3 linked regions of the Stegostoma tigrinum genome follow. The protein of the gene in region 3 interacts with the protein of the main gene of each other region in a biochemical or structural test. Links are inferred from orthologs where the notes say so. Each region holds a gene or a part of one and is shown on either strand. Other genes may lie near its edges.

The links. The genes of interacting proteins can lie anywhere in the genome.
Region 1: the proteins of ribosomal protein S6 kinase 2 alpha-like (region 3) and Na(+)/H(+) exchange regulatory cofactor NHE-RF2 interact in a test that uses a peptide from one of them, tested with the Homo sapiens proteins (2 studies listed by BioGRID and IntAct). The link is inferred for Stegostoma tigrinum from reciprocal best matches to the Homo sapiens genes RPS6KA1 and NHERF2.
Region 2: the proteins of ribosomal protein S6 kinase 2 alpha-like (region 3) and delphilin-like interact in a test that uses a peptide from one of them, tested with the Homo sapiens proteins (2 studies listed by BioGRID and IntAct, with this or other methods). The link is inferred for Stegostoma tigrinum from reciprocal best matches to the Homo sapiens genes RPS6KA1 and GRID2IP.

The regions. Positions count from the first base shown.
Region 1 is NC_081376.1:38,052,780-38,061,622, reverse strand, and holds the start of Na(+)/H(+) exchange regulatory cofactor NHE-RF2, read right to left. Parts: upstream 4,571-8,843; 5' UTR 4,034-4,570; coding exon 3,824-4,033; intron 804-3,823; coding exon 576-803; intron 1-575.
Region 2 is NC_081376.1:20,777,441-20,785,983, reverse strand, and holds the start of delphilin-like, read right to left. Parts: upstream 4,571-8,543; 5' UTR 4,314-4,570; coding exon 4,199-4,313; intron 986-4,198; coding exon 399-985; intron 1-398.
Region 3 is NC_081377.1:32,186,199-32,197,332, forward strand, and holds the start of ribosomal protein S6 kinase 2 alpha-like, read right to left. Parts: upstream 4,472-11,134; 5' UTR 4,225-4,471; coding exon 4,162-4,224; intron 1-4,161. UniProt on the Homo sapiens protein: Serine/threonine-protein kinase that acts downstream of ERK (MAPK1/ERK2 and MAPK3/ERK1) signaling and mediates mitogenic and stress-induced activation of the transcription factors CREB1, ETV1/ER81 and NR4A1/NUR77, regulates translation through RPS6 and EIF4B phosphorylation, and mediates cellular proliferation, survival, and differentiation by modulating mTOR signaling and repressing pro-apoptotic function of BAD and DAPK1.

The sequences.
Region 1 (8,843 bases), on a different chromosome or scaffold from region 3:
AAATAAAATGCCAGAATCAACCATACCACCCCAAAAAGTGTAACAGATTCAATAAAGGCTTCTCCTCACTACTTCTAACTCTCCGTTTGAAAATGCCACTAAAATTAGGCATATTCCTTTGATTTGCAGTCCTGTATACAGTTGTTATACAATTATATTACACATTGTAAAGTTCTTATATTGCTGCCTTGAAAGTTGCTATTGCCTCAGAAGTGTTTTAATATTCAGATTTTGATAACAAGAAAAGTAATTTGGGCATGCAAGTTATATAATCGTATAAATTGGGAACAATAGTAATTTATTTGGCCCCTCGTGTATGCTCTGCCATTCAATAAGATCACGACTGATTTAATAGTTTTCCTGCCTAGCCCCCAAAACCCCTTGACTCCCTTGTTTGTCATATGAGGCAGCTTCTACATTGAATGATCCCTTCCAATGTTTGTCAAACGCAATTGGAGATTGTCCATCACTAAAAAAATCATTGAGAAAAATGGAAGTTAATTTTTCATAAAATGTTGGGCAACTGGGCAACTTAACTCCCATGTCTCACCTTATTTTTTCAAAAGGGCTCTTACCTTGTTATTGCTATCAATGGACTTGTTTGATAATCTTGTAGGCTCACCACTGCTCAGAACTACTTGCGGTTTCCACACTTCACCATTGTCCTTGGTCTTAACTGCTGGGAGGTTCTGGCCGTAATCCTCTGTACCAGCGAGCCGCTGATTACGCAGGTATTCATCAGTCTCCTTGTCCACCACTAGTAGTCTTGTCTCATTCTCCAGTGCCTTGATCCGGTGCACGACCTGGTGAAGACAAAGAGGGTCACAACCTTTCGATAAATGCATGCTGATTACAATAAACACTGTGTTAAGCATCAAGTTTCAACATCAAAACCTTTAGAAGAAAACAAGAAGCTTGTCAGCAATTCTAATGAGTGCAATTCTTGAGGCTTCTGCTAATATCAAAGCATCATCCCAAAAAGCTTTACTGACTGTGAAAGCTCTAGGGAAGTTACATGAGCAGGAATTGTTTAATTTGAAGCAGAATGGGATCAAATTTCAATGTTGTCTCTGAAATTCAGTAACTCCTCCTAATATGTACCTTGCAATCAGATACATTAAAGAGGAAGAAGCGCAGAAGCAAACCACATGGCACCTCAGGTCTGCTCTAACTCTTTTTATCCACACTAGCCCCATATCCCTCTCCCCAAATGTGAAGCATGGTGACTGTCAGGTTAAAGCACCACTAGTCCTCTCTCTGTAAAGAGAAGATTAAAATGCTCTTTCTTGAAGACTCTCAATGCCTGAGCATTCGGAACTCTCTGGCATGAAGAATCCCAGAGATTCACAACTCATTGAGTAAATGAGTTTCTCTTTAGGTCTCTAGCATTTCCTTATAGAACATAGAACATAGAACAGTACAGCACAGAACAGGCCCTTCAGCCCACAATGTTGTAGCGACCATTGATCCTCATGTACGCACCCTCAAATTTCTGTGACCATATGCATGTCCAGCAGTCTCTTAAATGACCCCAATGACCTTGCTTCCACAACTGCTGCTGGCAACACATTCCATGCTCTCACAACTCTGTAAAGACAGCAGCTATCTCAACACCATTAGTGGGCAGAGATCTAGGTGGAGAGATGTAGTGTTCTAGGAAACTTGGATATGAATTTGGAAAATGGTAACCTCATTCAACGATTCTAGAAAGAACACCAGAATAAGAAACAGGAAAGTAATCAACACAGTCCCTCAAGCTTGCTTAATAAAACCATAGCTGATCGGGTCTCAATTCCACTGATCACCTAGTCCCTATAAAGCTCGATACCTTTATAGTTTAGGATATCTACAACTCAGTACCAAATACGTTCAATGATTAAAGTTTCTACAGCCCTTTATGGAAATTCACAAAATTAGGGAAGAATTCACCCTCATCCTAGATTGGAGATGCTTCATTCTGAACCTGTGTCCCTTATCTCTACAATCCCCAATGCAATGAGAATGTATTTAGTATTTACCCTATCAATATTTCTAACCTCCAATGAGAAAAGGTCCCAGATTGCTCAATTGCTTCATTAGACAATGTTGGATGGGGGAGCATTTACAAGGTCAAAGTGGTCGACTGTCAGTTTGAAGAGGGGTAGTGAGGGAAAATGTGAAAGGGGGTAGGGACAGAACCCAAGGAGTAAAACTAGGGCAGGAATAAGCTTTCAAGGAGGTTTGACCTAGGATGGTACAGGTAGGGAGGAACCCAACAGACATTGCCGATCAGATAGTCTCAATCTTAGTGATAGAAAAAATACCACAACCTCCTTGGACTTGTTGCTGGAGGTGAAGGTAATGAAAACAAGAGGACAATTTTTATAGAGTGAGGCTTGAGGAGACTTTGTTGAAGGAATAAGATCAAAGACATGATAACACAAAATATTGTCTCAAAGCCAAACTCAATCATCCACTAAAAGTTCAAGGACTCCAGGAGTTTTGGCTCTGAGTGAATATTACTGTATTGTTGTAAAAGCTGATCTGGAGGATGATGCCAATAGGAGCAACTGAAAGGCAGAACACTGGGAAATTCCAGGTGCTCAGCTCCTGGAACAGTGAGCTGGACAGAGAAGTTATGGTTCTCCCTTATTTCCCATTTACAATTTCTCCTGCTTCTAACACTGTTCGGTATAACCATATTCAGCATCACCGAGTTGCTGCAGTGGAGGTCTGTGAACACACCAGGTCTTTCCCGGCATTTTTACGCTGGAATACACAGTCTAATGGTTGAACTTTTAAATAAGCAGCCTGAAAATAAGAATCACGTGACCACATGTCTCAAGTCCAAGCGCCCTATTCACCAAAGTTCCTTCACATGAGGTAAACTTTTGTAATATTACTAAACGGTGCTTTTCAAAAAAAAACACAATGAACTTCTAATCCACCCCCATCCACTGAACTATATCGACCATAAACCCAAGCATGTTATAATCTGGCTGGGCTAGAGTTCACGCATCTGGATAATGTCACATTGGTAATCGGGTGAAATGAACTCTCATGTGTACGCTCTTTGGTTTCATTGTAAATTGAAACATGACACTAACGTGCAAAAAAGAAGTGTTTGTATCACTTGGGAGTGGCAACATATGAGAAGTCACTTTTTACCGCTGCCTACAGACTTTTTAAAACAAATGTTTCTCCAGCAGTATAATGCGACGAGTGCAATTGATGTGAGGCTACACCAGCATTTCAGAGGGCAGACTGCACCGATAAATCCCTCAAGTTTAGGCTGGGGTTCTCAACCGAAGCCATAAGGGCTCAGTGTAAAATCCGTCGAGGCATCGGTCGCTTGGATATGAAACACACTGACTGTCAAAACAATCTTTATTGATCCTTCAAGGTCAGGGTTGCTTTGCCTGCGTTCAAATATTCAAATAGTATTCACTTACTAAAGCAAAACACAAAGGGCAAGCGCACAAAAACGCATCGCTCCTGCATTTTGCAATTCATTCGGTATTAAAATGTTTCCAATTATGAATCAATAAAGGTTATCCTTTGTAAAACCGTGTCCCAGATGCAGCACCCTCGAACCATTTTGGGGACCGGCATTCTGGCCAGTACCTTCCCCGCGGCTGGACATGTCTGATTGATCAATGTGGAGTATCAACGATCAACTCCATCCTGCTGCACCCCTTTCCCCTTCGTGTGGGTTCACCAACACACTGCGGGGACCTACCGATTACTCGCTGCGTGCCCGCAAGACGGGAGCTGCATACGCTTTAAAAAAATTAAATAAAAACTTTGCAAGCCATGCGCGTTTCCAAATTTGTTTTGTTTTTACCTGATGGTGCGTCTCCTTCTCCACGTTCTCGCCGTTAACTTCGACCACCCGGTCCCCGGCGCAAAGACCCGACGCCTCCGCCGGTGAACCGGGCTCTACTTTACGGATGTATTGGCCGTTTTTGCCTTTCTCCCCGTGCAAGTGGAAACCGTAGCCATTTTCCGCTTTTATCATGTGGCACAAGCGGGGTTTCAGGTGGTCTTTGGCCATCCTCGCGGCCCCCTTGGGCGTTTCAGTCCCCGTCTTGCAATTTCAGGGTCACTTGGTTACTCCGGTGGAAATAAACTTTCTCCTTTTATTTTAATTCGTTGCCGTTGCGGTTACTCCCGGGAGCGTGTGCTTGTGATCTTCTGTCTCTACGAGCCGCCGCTGTTGTACGCTCCCAGTCCGGGTATCCGCTCAGTTCCAGTGATAACTCGCCAAACTTGGAGTTCAATTTCCACCAGGAACGCCAAAGGAAGAGAAGGAGACTCGGCGCCAGCGCACCTCCCCTCAAAGTCTCCTCGGAAACTTCCAGCCTGCACAGAAACGCGCAAAAACAAAACCTCCGGCTGTTCGCAACCCACATAAAACGAGCTTTTGTTTCTCTCCTGTCGTTTGCATCAAAAAGTTCCCCGCGTTGCCGAGCGAAACCGCATTCTAAATGAAGTCTGCGGGTCAGAAATGCTAATCGCTGGAAACGACAGCAAGGCGTACCAACCAAGTGCGGCGATGACACGCTATAAACAATAATAATATTGGGTCTCTCTTTCTCCCAAAGTTCAAGTTCTTTAGCGGGGTCCCTGCATTTAGACTGACTGCCACCTACTGAAAGCCGGCGTGAACAGCAAGGTTTGATTCAGGGTGTCCTAGCTCAGCCAGGCTTCCCATCCCCATCTTTCACAACGTGCTGTGGTACTCTGGTGTTCCCCGACTATATTGGGCCAACCCGAGGGACAGACCAATGCTGAGTTAGACAGAGCTTTAAGATTCGATTTAGAGGGGAAAGGGAGACTGATGTGCCAACACTTCAGGATTGGTCTGAAGTCTCCAGAGCAGCGTTGTGTACAACCCCAGAGGAAATTCTCAGGGAGGTTTAATAATGATATTTTAAAAATAATTTTCTTTCATTGTTTCGCTTTAGCCGGCTTAAAATATGGCACAGTGTTTGTTTGGCTGGTATCATCCAATTTGATAAAGGAGTTTTTTTTGGCTTTCTGTGCAATGGTAATTGGATTGGCTCGCTAATGATTTGGGCCTGAGGGTAAGTCATGAGCTGAAATCATCAGGAAGACATTTAACTTCTGTACAAAACTCCATTACAAGCTTAGAAATAAGAAGTCACAGGATCCCCAGAGTCTGGAAGCAGACTGTTCAGCGCATCAAATCCACACCAAGCCTTCAAAGAGCATCCCAGACCCACCCCTACCCTATAATCATAGCTAATCCACCTATCCTACACAGCCCAGGACACTATGGACAATTTAGCACGCCAGTCGACCTAAGCTGCACATCTTTGGACTGTGGGAGGAAACCCACACAGACATGGGGAGAATGTATAAACTCCTCACATACAGTCACCTGAGACTGGAAGCAAATCCAAATTCCTGGTGCTGTGAGGCTGTAGTGCTAACCACTGAGCTACCAATGAATCCGAGCAAGGGCAAGCTGATAAAGTTTAGGGGTGCATATGTGCTTGTGGTTTGTGCTGTACAGTGTATATAATGCTAAGCATACACAGATTGTTGCTTATGCAGCAGCTGGACTATGTTAGAGGTTGTGCATGGTCAGTGAGTAGAAGTGCCTCCCTCACTTCTGCAGTCTTATTTGTGCCCAGTGTCCCTCGAAAAGGAGAATAAAACAAGAAACTGTTGATGCTGGAAATTTGAAACATAAACAGAAACTGCTGGAAAAATACGATGGGTCTGGCAGTATCTTTGAAGAGAGAGAAACAGAGTTAACATTTTGAGTCCAATGGCTAGTCAATGCCAAAAATAATATTCTCATTTAATTTATTTTGTTTCTATGTCAGGGGTTTTGAGTTCGAATCATAATCTGGGATTTAAGCACAAAAATCATTTTTGCCATTCTAAAAGAATATTGAGTGCTGACCTGTTAGACTGACATACTATCTTTCAGATGAGATTCTACTCAAAGCCCCATCTGCTCTCTCAGGTAGGAATGAAAGGCTCAATAGCACTGGGGGATATCCCTGGTGTCATAATTGCCAATCATGCTCAACCCAACCTGTGCTTGTAAGCCTCAGAACACTATGTCTGATCTAATTGTGATTCTGCCCTGGGACAACACATATTAAATAACCCAGATTGTGCTAAGAATTACACCCAGCCCCAATTCCAGATTATCATTTGGGCTCGCAGTGTGATCATTTAGATGTGCTAGAATCTACATATATTAATCTAAAGGAACTTGTTTACTTAGACAAAGTTACAAACCATGAACCTTCTTCACTGGGGACCAAAGGGTAATGGAGATTGCAAATCTTTGCTGGGTTGCCACAGCAATGCCATGACCAATGAATATCTTTGCCTGAGACAACACAGTGTGGAGTGGGAGGAACACAGCAGGCCAGGCAGCATCAGAGAGGCAGGGAAGTTGACGCTTCGGGTCGGGACCCTTCTTCAGAAACCTTCACAAATGTCAACTTTCATGCTTCTCTGATGCTTCCTGGTCTGCTGTGTTCCTCCAGCACCACACTGTGTTGTCTCTGACTCCAACATCTGCAGTTCTTGCTATCAGCAAGTATCTATACCTGACTTTCCAGAGAATTAATATTGGCAGTTAATTACTTATGCTGCATCTCCATGCCAACTGTGGCTCAGCCAATGAGCTGTATGCAACATGGCTGGCAAGATTCTGGCATTACAGCAGTGGTCTCATTTCCAAAGTATGTCATTTGCAGTAGACGTGAGATGTCCAATGATGATGAGAGGTGTTTCATAAATGCAAGGTGATACAAATGCAAGATTTTCTCTTTTTTTTACGTGATTAGTATTTTTACTGTTTGTCCCCTTTAGGAAAGGGGGTTCTTTTATTAAATTAACTTGATTGGGTTTAATGACAGTGGGACAACCCAATGTAACCTTAATTAGTAATGAAGAGAAGTAGAATGTGTGAGGACCAATGTTAATGTTTCATCCAGCCTTACCACTGAAGCGACTGCATTATGCTGTTTCTTCCATTCGAGACCTTTAACATAGGCCAGCTCTTAGGGAAGCAATAGGGAATGGAAGTACAGCTGCAAGATTCTTAGGCTTTTGTGTCCAGCTTCCAAGACTGGGGTCTCGTGATGGCTGCCAGAAAGTCCCAACTACTTGTAAACATCCTTATTAACGGAAGGGTGGGGGGTTAAAAACTCTATGGGAATGTGCTTCCTGTCCTCAGCCTGCTCCCACGCTCACACCCAAGCCAAACTTTCCGATCAGTCAGAGTTCAGAGGCAAACTTTACTGATGGAGTCTTTCTGTAGTAGACAGATGTTAATGAAATGTACTCCTTGGGGTAAATCTGTTACATAAGTTTAGCCTTTCGCTATATCTCGGTGTGTTTGAAAAAACACAAACATTGTGACTGGATTATTAATTCCAAAGGTATGTATAAAGTTTATACACTACAACAGAAACTGCAGTTCATAAAAAATGTAGTTAGCTGCAAAGGACTTTGGGCCAACTTGACATCGTGAAAGGTGCTATGGAGATGGAAGTCTTTCAATCCAATGAACTTGTATGAGCGTATTATAACCATACTATAACCTTTGTGATTCCTCTCACTGTCACGAGTTACAATATCAGACATGGCTAACAATAGAGCAAACTTTTCAAGAAATTATTTCAGGGGATGTGGTCATTTCTGATGAGGCCAGCAAGGCCAATGCTAATTGCCAGCAAGACAGTGGTGGTGAGCTCCTTCTTGATCAATTGGATTCTGATTTATCTGTGGCAGTTTAGTACAATGGAATGACTTTCTCAGCCGCTTCATTGGGCAATTAAGAGCCAACCACATGGATGTGGACATGAAATCACATGTTGACCAGAGAAGGGAAGAATGGCATATTTCTAAATGGGCACCAATGAATCTGATGGGATTTTTTAAAAGCTAAGTAGTTGTTTTATGATCACTATTACTATGACTAACTTTCAAGTTTAGAGTTTTAATTAGTTAATTTTAAGCTCCACAAGCTGCTGTAGCAAGATTTGAACCCAAGTTCCCAGAGCATTTACCTGGACCTTGGAATTATAGCCAAGTGACATGACTCTGCCATTATCCTCCCAATATAGCCCATTCATGCCTACTTGTGATACAACTTCTTATAATGCTTCATAATGTCGCTTATGTTAAAGGCACTATATAAATGTGTGTTAATGTTACTTGTATTTGCAATCAAGTTCAGTAAAGGTAATAGCTTTCCATCATCATTAGTAGCAGCCATTTGACAATTTGCGCACAGGAGTAGAGCATTGGCTCACAAGTCTGTCCATTCCAACTTCACAAAAGGTTATTACAATGCAAACCTATATCTTATTAATTCTGAATTTTATTTGTTGTCAGGATTTTGGACTATCATTAAAAGTTCCAAGATAGTGATTTTGGTTTTGGCAAATTATCCACCCTGTGTTGTAATTTTGTGGTCGCTCCTAAGCACTATTCTGAATTCTGAAAGTAAAGGAGAAGTGTGGCTGTGCTATAATAAGCTTATAATGTCTGACCTCAGCTAAAATGGGTGTAGACATATATGTATTTTTGGTATTGTGTATTGCTGCTGTGTACATGCAGAGCACAGCAATTATTGTAAAACTGGCTGTGGGATGTGCAAAATATGTGGTTTGACTCCATATATGGTTAAGTGTAAAATATCTAATGTAAAAAAGAGCACCAACAGAAAAGTCATAACTACTAGTGTCTTTTTTTAAACATTTTTACACAAGTCTGAGAAAATCATGGAGACCGGCATATAATTTCAAATTCCAGCAGCAGATATGTTTATTAAATGACTACACTAGTGTGCAATTCAAACTTTATAA
Region 2 (8,543 bases), on a different chromosome or scaffold from region 3:
ACCCAGAACCATCCCCATCCCCCTACCGTATCCCTGTATCTCTGCATTTCCTATGGCTAATCTGCCTAGCCTACACATCCCTGGACACTATGGGCAATTTAGCACAGCCAATCCAACTAACCTGTACATCTTTGGAACCTGGGAGGAAACTGGAGCACAGGGCAAGTGTGCAAACTCCACACAGATGGTTTCCCAAGGCTGGAATTGAACTTGGGTCCCTGGTGCTGTAAGGCAGCAGTGCTAGCCACTGAGCCACCCCTTTAATGTTGTTAAGCCTGAAGTAAAGGTTTATGTTTTCACTGGGTGGACAAATCCTATTCATCCAGAGATCCCAATGCTCCAGAATCTTTGCAAATTATCACAAACAGGTCCTTTCTGCTTGGCTGGCAGTCTCCTACCTTTTTATTAAATTCCAAAGCTTTAAACTTCCTCTCCTGATGTATCGCATCGGCATTCTGAACATATTCACGGATACTGCTGCTGATCCGTTTTTGTCTCTTCCCAAAGCATAGGACTCCCAGTTTCAATGGTTTCCCATGATTGGCCTTTATCATGGAAGCTGCAACTTCATAGTTTTTTACTGGAATCCCATTAACCTCCATAATATAGTCACCACTCTTGAGTCCAAGCTCGGCTGCAGGCGAATCTGGGAGGCAATCCTCGATCTGCAAAGGGCTGTCACCACTCAGGTTGAAACCAAATCTTCCATCTGCTGCAGGCAGGAGTTCTATCTGCTCAATACGAGACACCACACCAATGCTAGGAGGAACAGTTTTACAATGTCTGGCTAAATTGATTATTGTATCACTACTCAGGGATGATACATCCTGTCCCTCAATTTCCAGAATCTGATCCCCTGGCTGCAGACCAGCAATGTGCGCGCTACTGCCCTCTTGCACGGAAAGGATGTAGCATGGACCATTCCCACTGATATGAAATCCAAACTCTTCTGGCCATTCTTGATTGTTGCTTGACATTATCGGAACTAGAGTGAAACAAAAGAGGGAATTTTAGATTCCAATAGAATTAAGCCGATTGCAAACAGTCTGGAATTCAGAATATAGAAAGCAATGTTAAAAGAAACTGTTTAAGAAACAGGAAGTAGAAAATTCCTGTGAGGGGTGTAATGTCAGACTAGGATGGTGTTTTTGGAACTCAAAGGTTACTGCTTGGGTGCTAAGGCAATAAATACTTTCTCAGCCAACAACAGCCACAACTCATGAATAATAATTTTATTTTTAGAAAAGTTAACTTTTTCCAAGGGGGGAGGATCAATAATTAGAAGACAAAGATTTAAGGTGACTGGCAGAAGAACCAGAGGCAACAAGTGGTGAGTTACAATGATCAGAACTGCAACATTTGAAAGTCTGATGGGAGCAAAGACAATAATAACTTTTAAAAAGGAACTGGAAAATACATTGCTAGATTAAGGAGAAAGAACAGGGGACTGAAAGTAATTGGTTAGCTCTTCCAAAGACCAAGCAGAGACACAATAAGCCAAATGGCCTCCATCTCTGGTGTATCAATTTATTATTCTATAAATAATCTGGATTTCGATGATAAAATACTCAATCCCACTTCAGGTTAGTTTATTGTCCAACAGTTCCATTTTAATCCAATATTTAGTGAATAATTCCATTTCAGGCCATCTTCAGGTTTAATTCAAAATCCCATTACAAACACTCCAATGAGACTTTTCCTTAAGCAACTTAAAACCCAACAACCCCACTTCAAACTGTTTTTCCCCCACAAATAGTTCCACTTCTAACTGGTTTATAATTATATAATTACATTTAAATTAATTTATAGCCCAAGAGTCCCATTTCTGGTTTGCATATAGCACAAGCCAGACCACAGCCCAACAATTTGGCATCTGCTGACACATAGTGTTAAAGCAGATATCATGAACACATCTAAGAGGAAACTTGATGCACATATGAGGTAAGAGAGAATAATGGGATCAGTCATGCTGGTAAGAGGTAATAACTCATGCTGATGAATGCAAAATGCATGTGCATTTAATCAAGTTAATCAGGGAATTGGTGACTTCATTGATCTTCTCTACATGCAAGTGGACACCTGTATTTTTACAAGATGGATTTAGCTTCATGTAGCGCCACCCTTATTTGGGGCACCTCCAACAACTGCAACTTACATTTAAAATGGGCCTTTTGCACAGTAAAATGTCCTAGTCATATCAAGGGCCTTTATTATCTAACACTGTGTCTCATAAGGGGAAATAAGACAATGACCAAAAGCTTGATCCAGATATAGGCTTTAAAGGAGAAGGAGAGGTAATGTCTCAAGGAAGGGTACAGCTGGAGAAGTTTTGAGAAGAATTACCAAAGTAAATGAGGGGTGGGGATGAATATTAAAGAGACCAATATTGCAGGAATGTAGATTACATGTATCTTAGGGGTTTATGGAGTTTGAGAAGGTTACAGGAATAAGGCAGGCCAAAGCCATCAAGGGATTTGAAAACAAGGATGAAAAGGTTAAAACTGATTCCTGTTTAAGCAACACCTCAGCATTGGTGAGCAAGCACAGTGTTGATAAGTGAAAGGGATTTGGTGAGAAGTTAGGAAACATACAGGATTCTGGATGAGTTTAAATTTATGGCAGATGAAATCAATGCTTACAGTGTCTACTTTTATTTGTATGGTCTGTGGACAAATGGATATCTTTCAGTCCATAACACAATTCATTCTAATACCTTTGAGAGCTTAGTTCTCACTGGATGTCATGGTGTTTAGTAACATATGCTACAGATGAGTGTTTCTAATGACCTGTGTTTGTAGCTTATTCAAAATAATGGGTGAGTCTTACTTTGCAAAAACTCAACATGGCACTTCCTCATATATTGGGTCAGGTGCATTCACGGTAAAGGCGCTTACTCAGAATCTGGGTTAATGTGTATAACATCTAGAATTTTAAAGGCTGTAAGCGTTTCTCATTTTTATCCGTTATGCTCTATCTGCCAAAATCTCTTACAAAGGAAAACCCAAAATATCAAAAGCAAGAAAAAAATCCTCCCAAAGATTTATTTGACAGTATTTTGATGCATGTGCCCTTCATTTCTGCATCTGCAATTTCACTGCTTGGTGCTACATAATCTATGTGCAAGCCATATAATAAAAGAATCATTGTGTGAAAATCTGGGGTATCAATTCCGGTAGATGAGACAACCTGAGGGTAAATGTAGGTATGATCAAAAGAACAGAACTGAAGAGCCATTCAATGCTGTTGAATGGTAAAAAAGAGAAAAACTAAATAGTTAACATATTCAGAATGATACAATATAAATTCTGGGCATATAGTATCATAATTTTATACAATAGGTATGAAAGCAAATAGAAAAAACTGCCCACACTTACTCATTTGGATTGAAAATGTGACCCATTTTCATGTGTCTCTCTCAAAGATAGATGTGAACTGGAATCCATCTTATACTTGCTCATAATTTTTATTCTAATCTTCCACAAATTTGAAAACCTTGTAGATAATTTAAAATGTACTGTTGTTGCTTAACGTCCATGTGTTTTCTATAAAAAGCATTTAAATTAATTTTCAAATATGACAATAAACTTAAAATAATGAGACAGAAATATTGTTGCTTGAAGTTATGTTTAGCCTCTGAATAAACCTAAGTAGTACTGTTTCAGCTTAACGAACTGCCTTGGAATGTTCATCACAAAGGAAAGGTGGTAAGCAGTTTAATAGCTAAACAAGTCTGAGCTTTAATATCTAAAGTTTCCTTGACAACACACAACACTTTTCATCCAACTAAACCAAATTTCAGATTAAAATTGTTTTATCATTATCTGTGATCCAGTTCTGCAAGAGACCCACTGGCAAATGTTCTTAACAGCCTGGAAGAGATGAAGAATTCCAATCTAACAAGTCACAGACCCAAATCCTATCCCCTGAAGCCTAACACACTGGAGAAATTCCTCTACTTTTAAAATTTAAAAGTCTGTTGCTTGTGTTTATTGTAGATTACACATCACGTCCTAGCTTCACAACCCACAAAACACACCTCCCCCAAATCCTTAATCAGCTGATTCTTCACATTACTTGTTGAAACCACAAGGTTTGCACCACAGAAGGATTCACTGTCATTAGGCATGGTTGCTATGGAGATGTAAATCAGCAGATTAAAAGCCATTTGTGAAAGAGCTCACAGCAGTGACACACTTACAGAAATCTTTGGGCGAAGAAGGTAAGTCGCCCGGCCCCTGACTCAAGCCATGTTTGGACTTTCGGCTTCTCAGCAACCTCTTCACTCGGTTCACAATACTTTCACGTTTAGCCATAGTTGTAGATTTAAAACTATGGTGTATTGGGCATAGGATAAAACAGAAGTCCTGGATTCAACTTCGCCTCAAGTGCTTTTAAAACAAAAACTTTACAACATCATTTTTCAAAGCAGAGAATCCTGTCAGCCATGAGATACTGGCACCACTGTCCTTCTCGTACAGTCGACTCTTGTGCACCAGCTGCATACGTTGTCTTTTGCAGTATCTCTGATATACAAGAGGAAGTCCTGCCTCTTGCAGAATGAGAACACGTTTCCCTTTGAATTCATCCCAGCAGCAGCTAATGCAGGAGGAGCTGCACAGTGTCCAAAAAACAGACACACACGTGAAGTGCAGGATCACCAATCATTCTGCTCTTAATTGCTGCTTTAAAAGGAGCAGCTGGGGATATTCAGATGTAAATGGAGTTAGAGTCAGGAGAATTCTAACATTGATTATATAGGAAAAGAACATTATGGACTCAGAAGAACTAGGGAAGTGGATCATCACAATGTGTTTGACATGAAAATAATGTTGACATCTTACGTACATTGATCTAAAGCAAGAATGGACAGTCAATACTCCCCAAATCTTGAGCAATCTGTGGAAACACATCATTATCCAACATTTCTCAACAGAGTCTTCAATTCATTTGTTTCAACTGAGGCGACCTCCTTTGATTTTTCTCTGAGACAGTAAAGTGTAAGTGTTGAATATATATAACCCTTGAGTTAATCAAATGGTGTGAACGTTTATTACAATGACAATGCAGAGGTTGGACGCAGTGTACCAACCAATGGTCAAATCTGTTGAATAGTGAACTGGTAATCAAGCACTACTCTGTACAAAACTGCACATTTACAGATGTTATATCATTGAACTGTCAATATTACAATAATTTACAAGTTTCATAATTCTCAAATTGTCTAAATATCAAAGAGATTTTACTCCACCAACTCTCATAAACCTGATTCTTGAAATCCATAATTCATCTCACAAGAACAGTCAGCTGGGCTCCAAGTGACTGGGGTACTCTCTGTCTTAGATACATCATTTAAATTACTTTTTAAAAATATCCTGAAATAAAACAGATTAAAATTGCTTTACTCAGTATTACATTAAGTCAGCAGCCAATCAAAAATAATATAAGAATGTCTGCACATCTTTTCAGAGACTTCTCTCAGCCTAATAATTTTTGGGACATACATGTCACTTGCAAAACCAGCATATGTTACAAATCAGGATGGTGTGTAACTTGAAGGGGCACATGTGGCAAGTGGTTTCTCAATGCACCTTTGTTCTTCTAGGCAGGCACAGGACTTTCGGAGGTGGTATCAAAGAATCCTTGAGGAGTTGATGCATCTTGTATATTCAGTGCAACCCCTGAACGCCAGTGGTGGAGGCTGTGGAAGTTTATTGTGATGAATGGAATGCCAATTAGGTTGCTTCTGAAGTGTTATTGGAGTTGCAGTCTTCCAGGCAGGTGGATAGTATTCAATGTCATTCCTAAGTTATGCCTTATCAATGATGGAATATGTTTGGAGAGTTAGGAGATATGTTACTTATTGTAGAATACTCAGCCTTTAACCTCTTGTAATCACTTTTTTATGTAGCTGGTCCAGTTAATTTTCCGGTCAATGGCAACCTCCAGGAGACAGATAGTGATGTATTCAGCACTTATCATGTTCTTGAATCTCAAGGGGTGATGGTTAGACTCCCTCCTGTTGGTTGGAGATGGTCATGGCTTGGGAGCTTGTCAGAGTAAGCATGATTGCTGTCCAAGTCTGGTTGCATGCACCTTCACTAACTTAAGAATTGTATTTAAATCTGAACAGATTAAATCAATGAATGTCATTAATTCCAGCTTTATAATAGGGTCACTGAGGCAGCCAAAAGTTGCTTGGGCCGAGGACACTGACATGAGGAACTTCTAAAGTTGCCTCCTGAAGCTGGGTTATTTGATGTGTAACTCAAATCAAATGCTTTCTGATATCAAGGGCAGTCACACCCATATTGCCTCTGAGAGTTAGTTATTTTGTCTGAGTTTGATCAAAGAACGTAATGAAGACGGGAACTGATTGGTACTGACAGAACCGAGATTATGTATTGGTGAGCAGATTATTGTTCAGAAAAAGATAAACAAGAACTGCAGATGCGGGAGTCAGAGATAACAGTGTGGAGCTGGAAAAACACAGAATACGAGGCAGCATTAGAGGACCAGGAAAGTTGATATTTCGGATTGGGACCCTTGCTCAGAAATGGGGAGTCAGAAGGGAGTTAGGAAATAAATAGAGGAGGAATGGGACTGGGGAAAGAGAGGTGGGATGATGATAGTGAGTACACGTAGGGAGTGGAGGAGATGCGTCAGTGGGATGGGTGGGGTGGACAGGTGGGAGAGAGGATGGACAGGTTGTGTGAGGTCAAGGAGGCGGGGATGAGAGGGAGGGTTGGACATGGGATGAGACTGGGGATGGGGAGATTTTAAAACTGGTGAATTCCACTTTCAGGCCATCAGGCTGTAGGCTCCCGAGGTGGAATATGAGGTGTTGTTCCTCGAGTTTGCGGGTGGTGTCATTGTGACACTGGAGAATACCCAGGATGGACATGTCACCAGGGCGTGGGAGGGGGAGTTAAAATGGTTGGCGACTGGAAGGTGTTGTCATTGGTCACGTACTGAGCGCAGATGCTCTACAAAACGGTCTCAGAGTCTCTGCTTGGTCTCACCAATGTAGAAGAGGCCACTCGCAGCTTGCTCCCACCTCCAGACTGAGGCAAATTAGCCTCTCCTCAGCCAAGAAAACAGTCTGCCCCATTGTGGTTTGTTGAAAAGGTGGCCACTTTGCTCATCTATATGGAACATAGTTAAATTGTACCAGTGGCAGAATGAAGCCCTTGACTGATCATTAATTGACCATTTAAGGATCTTAATTAGCCTCAGATCAGGAAGGTTGACCAGGATCCACTCCACCTAGAATTTAACTCCCGTAGTGGAGGGAAGGAGGCAATTCCCCCGATTATTTGTCCTGCCCACTGCCTTCCCTACTATTTCTGAGTGGGTACATCCCAATCAATGTATCTACCTGTATCCATGAAATGTGGGCATGTATAACACAAAAGGAGGATGTGCTCTTGTCAGAACTGAGCTGGAGTGATCCAAAATAAATCCCATTGATTAATTCTCTTCTCCACAGTACTGTCCCTTGCTTGGCTTCAGTTATTCATCCAATTTTGTCCTAAAATGTACTGTTTACAGCAAAGCCACTCCTCTTAAAGACATTTTTCTCTTTTCTAATTACAGTCTGCTTGTGACAATTTGAAAATGTATTCCTCAACTGCGCTGCCTCCTCAGCCAGAGAAATAGTTTGCCTTTTTTATCAAACCTTTCATGATATATCGCTGTTAAATTTCCTCTTTCCCTTCTCTCCAGCAGATTTCATTTCCTGAGAATACTGGAACAATTGTCACAGCTGTTTAGAAAACCTAGACTCCCATGTACCTGTTTCTTTACCAACTATATTCCCTTACTTAACAATTTATGCATTTGTTTCTCCCTGCTTGGTGATTGGTGTATAGTTCCTGCTGTTCATCTTTCCATGTCACATTATATTTATCCACACAAAGGAAAATGGGACAGAAATACAGAGAAGGAGAACAAGAAGGTAGAAATATGAAGAAAGAGACAGAAAGAGGTAGGAGAACAGAACTGAAGTAAACATGCACACAGAGGGAAATTGTGAGTTACAGTATGAGAGAAAGAAATATGCAGCAACAAATGTAAAGAAATATAGATGAAGGCCATGAAAGACAGAAATGCAGAGACGAAAATTTATACTGGATATTACAAGTTAATATGACGGGGAAGTCAAGATCCAGCAAGGCCCTACAATACATACTACTGCATGTTTGTGCAACAATTCCAGGGTTTTTGCTTTTACTGTTGTATCTGGGAGTCCATTTCAAATAATGAACATTCACCTTGTGAAGCAGTATTTCTTGATATTAGTCCAAAATTTACATGTTATTGGTTTGAATCCATGTCTCTGGAGGGGAGCTAGTGCACTAAATGGTTCATTTCATCAACTTAGAGTCTTAGTGAGGCTAAACCCCGAACAGAAGTAACCGAGCAGAGCCAATTTCAATTACTGGACACAACAAGCCATCATTGTCTCCCAACTATAGTATGAGGCCTGATTGCAAATCAGCGTTGATCTACACCACAAGCATCAACCAACTCAGATATCACTAAGG
Region 3 (11,134 bases):
TAGTAACAGGAAATTGAGTTTGTAGCAAGGACCGAAGGCAGTGGTTTTAGCCCTCCTATTGTTTAATCGGAGGGAATTTCTGCTGAACTAGTACTAGAATCTGGACAAGTAATGTAACAATTTAGGGAGATGGTAGTGAGCTGCATATTGTTAATGATCACATGGAAACTAATGTTCTATTTCTGAACAATGTTGCCCAAACGGCAGAATATAGATTTGAAGTATCCTTCAGACACAAAGATAACTGCACATTAGTTTAAAGGGAAACTATTGTAAGCAATAATCTGTCTACAACTAGATAGATAAGCATGAACCAGAAGACAGCAGTTCCACTGAGCTTCTCAGCAGTGCTTTGATGTTCAAGATTCACATAATCAGCAATGCCAAAGGCTTCAGGCAGCTCACAGAAAAAAGATAGAGGATATTTTTCTGACAGGTTGCCAAATATAACACCTTTAATAAGAACAGTTTTGTTACCATGTCGGGGTGGTAGCTTTGCTGGGTGGGTTCAAACATGGAGTTCCGGAAAATATACTTTCAGTTTTGGGAAGTGACAACAAATTCCAGGAATTTGAAAGGAAAAAGAAATTGGATTTTTTTTCCCATTTTTGGGATATGGGCATTACTGGCTCAGGTAACATGCATTGTCAATTCCTGAGTTGGATTCAAGGAAGTAATGGTCTTCTTGAACTGCTGCAGATAACTTGTTGTCTGTAGATCCACAATGATGTTGGGAATGGGGTGTTCCAGGAGTGAAGGCCCAGCAGTGAAGGAACTGTGATGTAGTCCCAAGTCAGGATTGAGACTGGCTTGGAGAAGAACTTGCATATGGTAGTCAGCCCATGTATCTGCTGCTTTGCCCTTCTATATGTTCATAGCCAGGGGTTTGGAGGGTACTGTCCTTGAAACACTTGTGTAATTATACAGTGTACTTTGTAGATGGGCACACTGCTGTAATGGAGCATTGGTGATTGAAGGAGTGAATGTTTCTAGATGTGGTTTAATTGGGCTGTTGGGTTCTGGATGGTGTCTAACTTCTAAAATATTGGAGCTGAACTCATTGTGGAACTTGGAAGGAATCTAGTCAGACTCCTAACTTGAGTCTTATGTATGATGGATAGATTTTGGGGAGTCAGAAGGTGAGTTACTCACTACAGAATCCTAACTTCTGACCTGGCCTTGTAGCCACTGTATTTATTTGGCTATTCCAGTTCAATTTCTGGATAATGGTGACCTCTATGGGAGTTTCAGTGATGGAAATGACATTGAATGTCATGGGCTGAAAGTTAAGCTCACTCTTGCTGGATATGATCATTCCCTGGCACTTGTTTGATGTGAATTTCACTTGTCACTTGTCAGTTCAAACTTGGATATTATCCAGGTCCTGCTGCATTTGAATGTGGGCTGCTTCATTCTCTGAGGAAGCTTCCCACATCTGATCTTATAATGAAGATGTAATCGATGAAGCAGCTGAAGACAATTAGGCCTCTGACATTACCCTTGGAATTCCCAAAAAGATATCCTGGAACAAAGATGACTGGCCTCCAACAATCACGATCATCTTCCTTTGCCTCAGGTATGGCTCCAAACTGTGGAGAGATTCTCCCTGATTCCCACTGACATTAGTTTTGCTAGAGCTCCTTGATACCACATTTGGTCAAATGCAGCTTTGATGTCTTTGTTAAACAAAGGCTGTTGTGAAGTCAGGAGCTGAGTGGCCCTGGTGGAACCCAAGCTGAGTGTAGACAGCAGGTTCTTGCTAAGAAAGTGCAACCTGATAACACTATGATGACTCTTTTCATCATTTTACTGATAATCGAGAGAAGAATGAGGCGAACATAACCAACTTAATTGGATTTGCCCTGCTTTATACAGAATGGATCTGAGCAATTTTCCACATTGTCAGGTAGATGCCAGTGTTGCAGCTGTCCTAGAACCATTTGTCTTGGTGCACAGCAAATTCTGCAGCTTATAGCTTCAGTACGATTGCCAGAACATTGACAGAGCCTATGCAGTGTGTAGTGCCTTCGACAGTTCCTTGATATAGTACCTGGCACTTTTGACAGAGCACTGTTGCAAATGCTTCAGCATTATCTTTTGTATTGACATGCTAGGCTCCTTCATCATTTGACAATGGGGATTTTTTTGGAGCTCCTCCTTCAGTGAGGTGTTTAATTGTCCAGTGCCCCTCATGACTGGATGTGGCAGAATTGCAAAGGTTAGATCAGATCCATTGGTTGGATTGCTTAACTCTGAATATTATTTCATTTTGGCTCCAAATAGTCCTGTTGTGTAGCTTCACCAGGTTGACATCCCATTTTTAGGTACATCAGCTGCTGCTCCTTGCATGTCCTCCTGCAATCTTCATTGAACTAGGGTTGATCCCCTGACCTGATGGAAATGGTAAAGTGGAGGATTTCCCAAATTACAAGGCTGCTTGGCCTGCTGTGTTCATCCAGCCTCACATTTTATTATCTTGGAATTCTCCAGCATCTGCAGTTCCCATTATCTCTGATACAAGGTTGCAGTTGTGTTTGAGTACAATTCTGCTGCTGATGATGGCCTGCAGCAATCTTGTGTTGGGTTGCTAGAGTGCAAGAACTCTGAGTGCAAAGATTGTGTTTTTGAGGAGAATCAAAGACTTATCAGGTGGAACATTGTTATACAGTTATGCAATCTTAATTGGTACCTGAACATTTCAACTGGATAGTTCACACTCTTGAGTCAAGAACTTATCCAAAATAGTCAGTGCCTGAGATCAATAGATACCAAAACAAGAACTATTTATTGTAACAAATTCTAGAGAATTTAATGGATTAGATCTCCAATGGAATTGCAGATGATCTTTTCCCTCACTGGTTCAATTAAACTATTTTAAACAAACCATTGTTTTTCAAGAATTATATTTCTGTCGCATGTTGTTAATATGCACATTCAGCTGTGAAATGTTGCTATCACTTTGAATACTTTTTTCTCAATAAAATGTGAAAGAAGTAATAGATTAGCAAGCCATGAAACCTAAATTTTGCCACGTATCAGCCCGATTTTGATTTATAAAGTGAACCGTAATGTTTTATCCATCAGGAGCTTTTATTATAGTACTGCCCCAGATCCAATTTCCTCCCTCGGGAAATGTTGCTTCAATATCAATGTGTTTCTTTCTACTTTCTTTCAATATTCCGTTGTTCATCTTTTAAACCCTGCTTCTCAAGTACAGAAGGATGCAATAAAATTATTCCAGTACATTGTCTAGCAGTTCCGCTCTAGATGCAACTCCGTTCCTTTCTTGCCCACTGTACACACAATTCCTTTTCACCGCTCTCCCAATCTCAGGTTTTCATTCTGCGTGATGACTCCACGAAGCATGTGGCAAATCATTATTTTGGTTAGAAAGCGAAAATTATGGAAGACGAAACCATTTGGTAGCTGCGGGTGCAAGGTCATACATGCGTTAAATAAAGTGTTCATAATGTCATTAGGGCCATAGTCTTTTTTTTCGAGTCACTTTCATCAGCAGCTGCTGCTTCAATATGCGGCATAATTCATTTCACTATTTTCTAAATAAAAAACAATTTTGGCAAAAAATGTCCGTAAATGTGACGTCCTTTTAAAGATATAAAGGTATGCGCTCATTTTTGCGTTAATTAATATTTTTGAAGTTAGCAGAATCCTAAGTCGGAGGCTAGATACCACACGCAATCACTGAACAAAGAAGACGCGGTGACACAAAGCACGCAACTGCCAAACACTGATATTTTTTCCCCAAAAAAATAGTCATAATTGCAACCACAATGTGGCAACATAACCAACATTTGCAATGCCTAAGGTAACTGAATTGTTATCCTGCCGCTTCGATCCTCTGCAGATGCTGTTTCGATAAAATTCAACGGCGCCCCAAACAGCAATTTAGCTACATTTGACAATGATTTTAGTACACTAACCCGCCCTCCATTGGAAAGTGTGAGCGATCGGAGAAGCCCACCTTGGACCTTTCAACTTCTGAGGAATTTCCCCAAGCGCTGGAGCTTAGCAAGTCAGCTCACTGTATGCCAAACAGCAAGAGCTGGATTAAGAGTATCGCTTTTCCTTCTGAATGACATTTCTCTCTCAGCTGAGTTTACACTCCCTCTAGTCTGGTTATGACTTGTTGCAAATATTTACCTCGGTCTCTAGGTGAACCAGGTCCACTTTGGGCCAAGGACCAGCTAACTGTGCCAACGGCATCCTGCAACCGACTGAGAAACGGGACAAGAGGCAAATCCCTGTCAGTGTGAATGTTTCCGGAGAGAGTTGCCCGCTGTCGCTGAGCTCTGTCCAGGTAGGTGAGAGATAACTGCACAGAGTATTGGATCCTTTCTGATGAGTTTATACCGCTGGGTGAAGTGACACCAAGACCCGACTCTTCTCTCGCTCTTTTCCCTTCCCTTCTCGCGGGTTCCGATCGTGAACTGCTGCTCAGCTCGAGCTCTCTGGCGCCTGCCACTCACCACCCTCGCGCGATTACGTCATCGCGTCAGGCGACGTCCATACGTGTGGCTGTGGCATGGCACGAAATGGTGGGGAGTGGACGAGGTTCTAATGGCAATCTCAGAAAAGGTCAGGCAACGTCGATGGGTGCCGTGCGTGTGGAAGTGGTCCTCCTCAGCGTTCCAACCGTAAAGTGTTACACCTCAGAAGGACACCAACGGGCGCATCATATTTGTACGGGTTCTATGAAGGACAGGCTCAATTAGTCCCGCGCAAGATACGGGTGGTTACCGGAAAATTGGCAGGCGCCACTGATGTTCATTTCAGGGGCAAGTGCATGATGGGCCGATCGGCCTTTCCTGTGCTGTTAAATTTCTGTGATGTATTCGCCCGGTCCTTTCTTCACGTTCAATTGTTTTATATTTGGAATTTTTTTTTGAAATAGTGTGTTTCAAATTTTAACCAGAAGAAATGTATCCTCATTTTCTCTCTGGCTTAGTGGCCAGTTATTTGAACTCTATCACCTCTGGTCCTTTCCTCTCTGCCTAAGGAAGTTTTTTTTTCTGTACTTGCTCCTCTAAAATGGCTAATGTTAATGAATAGGTCTATTCGATTTCCCCTTCTCCACTTTAAGAACATTAACAACAACAGCTTAAGTGTATCTAATGCATCTAATGTAATTAAGTCCACAAATGTATTATAAAACTATATATGTCCTCAACTTTATAGAGGGCAGAATTTGGGGGAGTAGTATGGAATGCAATGGAAGACTTGAATCGAGAACTAAGTAGGTATGACTAGTATGTACACCTGGAGTACTGTGTGCAGTTTTGGATCCCTTACTTGAGAAGCGATATCCTAGCACTGGAGGAGGTGCAGAGGAGATTCACTCAGTTGATTCCAGAATTGAGAGGGTTGGATTATGAGGAGAGACTGAGTAGACTGGGATTATACTCATTGGAATTCAGGAGAATGAGGGAAGATCTTATAGAAACATATTATGAAGGAAATAAATAAGATGGAGGCAGGGAGGTTGTTTCCACTAGCAGGTGAAACTACGACTAGAGGGCATCGCCGCAAACTAAAGGGAAGCAGACGTAGGACTGAGGTCAGGAGGAATTTCTTCACCCAAAGGGTTGTGGATCTGTGGAATTCCCTGTCCATTGAAGCTGTTGAATCTACCTCACAGAATGTTTTTAAGGCAAGGCTAGATAAATTTTTGAACAGTTAAGGAATTGAGGGTTATGGTGAGTGGGCGGGCAAGTGGAGCTGAGTCTCAAAAAGATCTTATTAAATAGTGGAGCAGGTTCAAGGGCCAGATGGCCTAATCCTGCTCCTAGTTCTTATGCTCTTATGAATGAGAGTTTCAGGAGCAGATCAGCTAAGGTAGGGACAAACTTGTCACAGAATTAGAATTAAACAGTTTTAGAGATCATAGGAATGAGGTCAGAAGTTCATCTCAGGATTGAACGTGACACCAAGTTAAGTAACAGACTGCCCGATTCTCAGAAAATTGTTAGCAAGAGGGACAGAATTAGTCATAGTGAAAATAGTAGTTAGGAAACAGAATTGGAGCTGGAACCAAAAACAATAGTTTAAACCTCCTAATATTTGATTGGAAAACATTTCTGCTGGCCCAGTACTGTGCGCTAGGAGTAGCTCAGTGGTTAGCACTGCTGCCTCACAGCACCAGGGACCCGGGTTCAGTTTCCCTCCACAGTCCAAAGATATGCAGACTAAATGGATTGGCTGTGCTAAATTGCCCGTAGTGTTCAGGGATGTGTAGATTAGGTGAGAGAGGGGCATGGGTCTATATAGGCTCTCTGGGTCGGTGTGGACTTGTTGCGCCCAGGGTCTGTTTCCACACTGTATGGATTCTGTGATAAACCGGTAATTTAACTGTCATGGAAAAGTCAAGATAGTAGGTAATGAGATGGAGTGGGAATCTACTTTTAAAACCAACGCTGATTTTAGATAATGACAGCAGGTAGATGCAAGACAAATGGGAGACAAGTTTAGATTTGTGGAAGATGTCAGAGATATCTGAGAGATTGAGGAAGAGAAGCTGTTGCTAGTGGCTACAGTTAGATAAGAATGGACCCAGCTAGAAGCAGTGATAGATATTTTCTAACCAATCTGTGCACAAATGTTGTTACACACCCTTGGAGCAGATGGGTTTTAAATCTCGGCCTCCTGGATCAGAAGTAGGGATATTATGACTGTGCTATAAGAGCCCAATCCCAGCCGAGGAGGATTCGTGTGATTGATCATGTAAAAGACTGCACACAGGATGAGAAGGAATATCGTACCTTTATTGCAATCATGTAGGATGTCATTTATGATTTTCACAAGACCTGTTAGGTGCTGCTGTGTTGCAGAGCCCTTATTGCAAGGATTCAAACATGAGCTGTGAAAAAGTTTAGAACAAATTTTGGGAGACCACAACACTTTTTAAGAACTTTGGAAAGAAACAGAAGATCATAGAAAACATGGTCAGTTGCAAAGGAAGAAGTATCAAAGTGTAATCTCTCAAAGTAAAAGGAGACTAATTTGGTTTAGGAAACCTGGTCAGCATGGACAGGTTGGGCTGAAGGGCCTGTTTCCATGCTGTACACTTCTATTACTGTGTAAAGTCACCATAGTCTTACCAGACCATAAGACTGCTGTCTCATTAGAGGAAGACTACTGGCAGTGGTTTAACTTGAGGATCACTACACATAGAACATTACAGCACAGTACAGGCCCTTCGGGCCTCGATGTTGTGCCGACCTTGAGTAAGAGGAGAAGTTGAGAGGAGACTCCTTCATGGTAATGTCAAGGAGAGGTGTGATGACAGCAGATTTAGAGAATAGAGGACCTGAAGGTATAACTATCTACAATATTGGCTAATATGGACATGGAGTTAATATTATCAGAAATGGGAGTGGGAGACCAATTCTAGCTTCTCCAATGTTAATATAACATGTCTAATGTTTAGAAAAGTTTATTTCTTTCTACGTGCCTTGGCATATACTGCTGGAATGAAGCATTTGATTTTGATTTATGTGTATACTGCATTAAAGAGTAGCACAGGGATTGCAAACAAAGATCTATAAAAGTCCTTATTTAAGTTTTTCAGGTTACTGATCAATCTTAGCAACTTGCAAGAGATTGATATTTTGTCTTATTAACATTGAGATATAGAAGAGCATATTATTTAGTATTTTAATATATTAACATGTTAGATGGTGATTGGCAGCGAGAATGCAGCACGGAGGTGCAGGGATCAAGAGGTCAAGCCCAGCACGGGAGAGAGTTTGAGCCCCTGTGAGAAAAGCCCAGCACAGAGCAACTGCAGGTTCATGATTAATGAAGGACTGTAATTTGGAACTTTTAACTTTATTTCTTATTTACTGCTTTATGCTGACAAGAACTGCAATGTTCAACTTTTAACATTTCTTTATTTTTTCAAAGATTTTGTACCTAGGTAGCTTGAAACCTAAGATGGCTTCATGAATGGTGACATTGTAAACCTTTCACTGTGCTCCTGCATCCCTGTACTTGAGTACACGTGACAGTAAAACTTAATAAATAAAGCCTAATGTTTTAGTTATTTCCAATGAAAAAGAAAAAACAAAAAGTCATACTTTACCAACATTCTGGTATTGGTGAGAAAGGACCATGCAGCGTGCCTATAAGAAAAGCTGACCTACATTGTGACTAGTGTCACTGCAGTTTGTGCTGCATGTATCTTGCAGCATTCCAGCTGAAGGAGCTGCTGACTTCATCAGTAGTTCGACAGACAGAGAACCACCTTGAGGCAATTTCCTCACTGCAGCATAGGAAGTGCAACTGCTGCAACAATGTATATATTGCAGCCTATGGCAGACAGCATTTTACTTTACTGGAGAATGCTGCTGGCTGCCAAATGTTTCTGGTTCTGAAGTCAGCCTTCCCAGTCAGACTAGTAATGCTGTCCTGACACAGTACATATTCCCAGCAACTGCAAATTTTGAGCTGCCTCATAGTTGTTCATGTGTTGCCGCTGGTGCTAAGGCATCCAGTCTCTTGTATAAACAGAACTTGGAAGTTAAGCCAGACAGAGGTTAAAATGGTTCTGATTATATAAGCTTGTCCATTAATTTTAAGTTTGGCTCCCTCAGTTTATGTCCCCTTCTCTTCAAATATTTGTTCCATTCTCCAGCAATTCTTGGCCACAATGAACACACAAATCCATCAAAAATGTAACAAACAAGTTCAGTGCCTTGACTGTACTATTCAATGTATTTATTCTGAATGTTGCTCCCTTAGTACATCATTCAATTAATGACATTTAAAAAAATACTAAACAGAGGGAGCTGTTTGTGTCTCTTAGTAGTCTGTGCTATGGTCATATATTGATAAAGTGAAACATACAATGTAATGAATGCCTGTTATTTATTTATAATGTTTATCATCATGTCTAATACAAAATGTTCCAAAAATAATTCAGAAAATTTTTTTTGGTATTAATGTACTAATTTTACAAAATTAAATGTGATTGTATATTGATATCTGTAATTTTAAAAACATCAAAAATCATTACATCATTTTTTGATTGTAAGAGGCTGCAGGACATTTGAACAGAAAGAACAGCTTACAGTTTGAACCTGAATGATCTAATGCATGCTAGTCTACCTACTTCAGACTGCTGACCAGGAAAAAAATTCCATGAACCTTTGGCACTTTGTAACTTTGCTTTTTTCCTCTGGGCTTACTGCCAGTGATATAACAATGCCCATCCAAAGTTATAGTAAGCAGTGAGATTTCAACATTGAAAGATAAACGAATAATGCTGAACTAATAACTATTAAATGTCCTCTAACACATACCTAATGTAAGGAAACACTTTATTTATTTCTATACACCTTGGTGTGCAAATCTCAAATGGAGCATCTGGCTCTGATGTACATTGTCTACACTGCATTAAAAAGTAGCATAAGGATTATAAGCAAAGATCTTTAAAAATCCTTATGAACAGTTTTCAAATTATGAGCAATTTAAAGAAATTGAAAAAAATATTTACCATATTAGGGAATGATTTATTTCAGGCTAATATGAAGAAGTTGTAAGAGTAGTCTTGGGTGAAAGAGTTGAAAAACAGAACTGTCACAAATTAAAATCAGCTGTCTTTGTTTAATTTTATTCATTTATTATTTGTTCATCAGTCTGCACTTAGTGTCCATTGCAACTCCATTAGCCAGTCATATGTACAGTGTACATAATGAAACCTTTGAGAAATCCGTAAGTGTTTGTGATTGCTGAAATGCTACTTTGCTGCAGGTGAAAATAACTCTTCAGGTTCATTCTTTCTTCCCTTCCTCGTTCTCTAGTTACCTTGACAACCTGCTATCTGTAACAAAGGGAAAATGGAAAATGCATTTGACATTTTGAACATTATTCCATTTCCCCATCAAATCCCTCACTACAATAAGCAGAAGAACTCATCATAAGGCTAAAAATGTATGCCATATTTACTTTGTACTTGGCTTCCTATTTGACTATTTGATTGTATCAAGAACATAAGCAGTGTTTATTCGTTATTACCCCACACCATTATCGCTTGAGTGCCTGAGGGATCTAACTATGGACTTGTCCTGTTTTGATTCTGCATGTCAGTTCATCAGCTTTCATTTGCACACTGATGTTGGCCAAATCTCTCTCAACAATTCCAATTACACTGTTTGTTAGTCTGCTTAATAAGCATCCAGTTTGAAATAAGCAACTATTTTTCCTGTAGTTAAATATTAGCAAGAAGGAAGGCTGAATCTTTATCATCTTCACCTTCAGCTCCCACCATAAACTTTGTATCACGGCTACTGATTCCATCCTCATTTCCACCACAAGCTCAAACTCAGCTAGACTGTTTGCTATCTCAACACCCTGAATGAACCCAAATCAGATCTATCCAAATAGACTCTCCATCAGAAAACAATCTACTTACAACTCTGGAACATGCCCACAGTTATCTGAGATGCTACTGAAACCCTCAATTGTGGCTCTGTCACTTCCACACTCACTTATTCCAAACATCTCCATAGATTTCTCCAAGTTCTTAAAGCAGAGCAGTTATGGGACCTATTATGCTTCGAGATATGACCCCTCTGAAGCTCTTGATGATAAGCAACTACTCCTTCCCATTAGACAATTTCCAGCATCCAGTAGGAGATCCTGCCCTGATGCAGGATTTTAGTATAAATAGTAACTTGACAGTTCACAACTTGAATATTGCTGCAAAAATGACATGCTGTTGAAAATTTGCATGGAAATGTAGAAAACAACAGGTATGGGCTAGTCAGTCCTTTAAGCCTGCTCCATAATTCAATGTGATCATGGCTGTTTATCCAATCAGTGTCACATTCCCACTTTTTTCCTTTAGCTCTAAGAACTACATCTAACTCCATCTCGAAAACATTCAATGTTTTGGCATCAACCATCTGCTTCACAATTGCAACAAGACATCCCTGTTCCTGTAATTGAATCCTTTCGCTTTGAAGACCAACATACCATTTGCTTTCTTCACCACCTGCAAAGCCTGCATACTTATTTTCAGTGACTGGTGTACCAGGACAGCTAGGTTTCATTGCAGTTCTTCCTTTCCAATCTATTATCATTCAGATAATCTGCCTCTCTGTTTTTGCAACCAAAT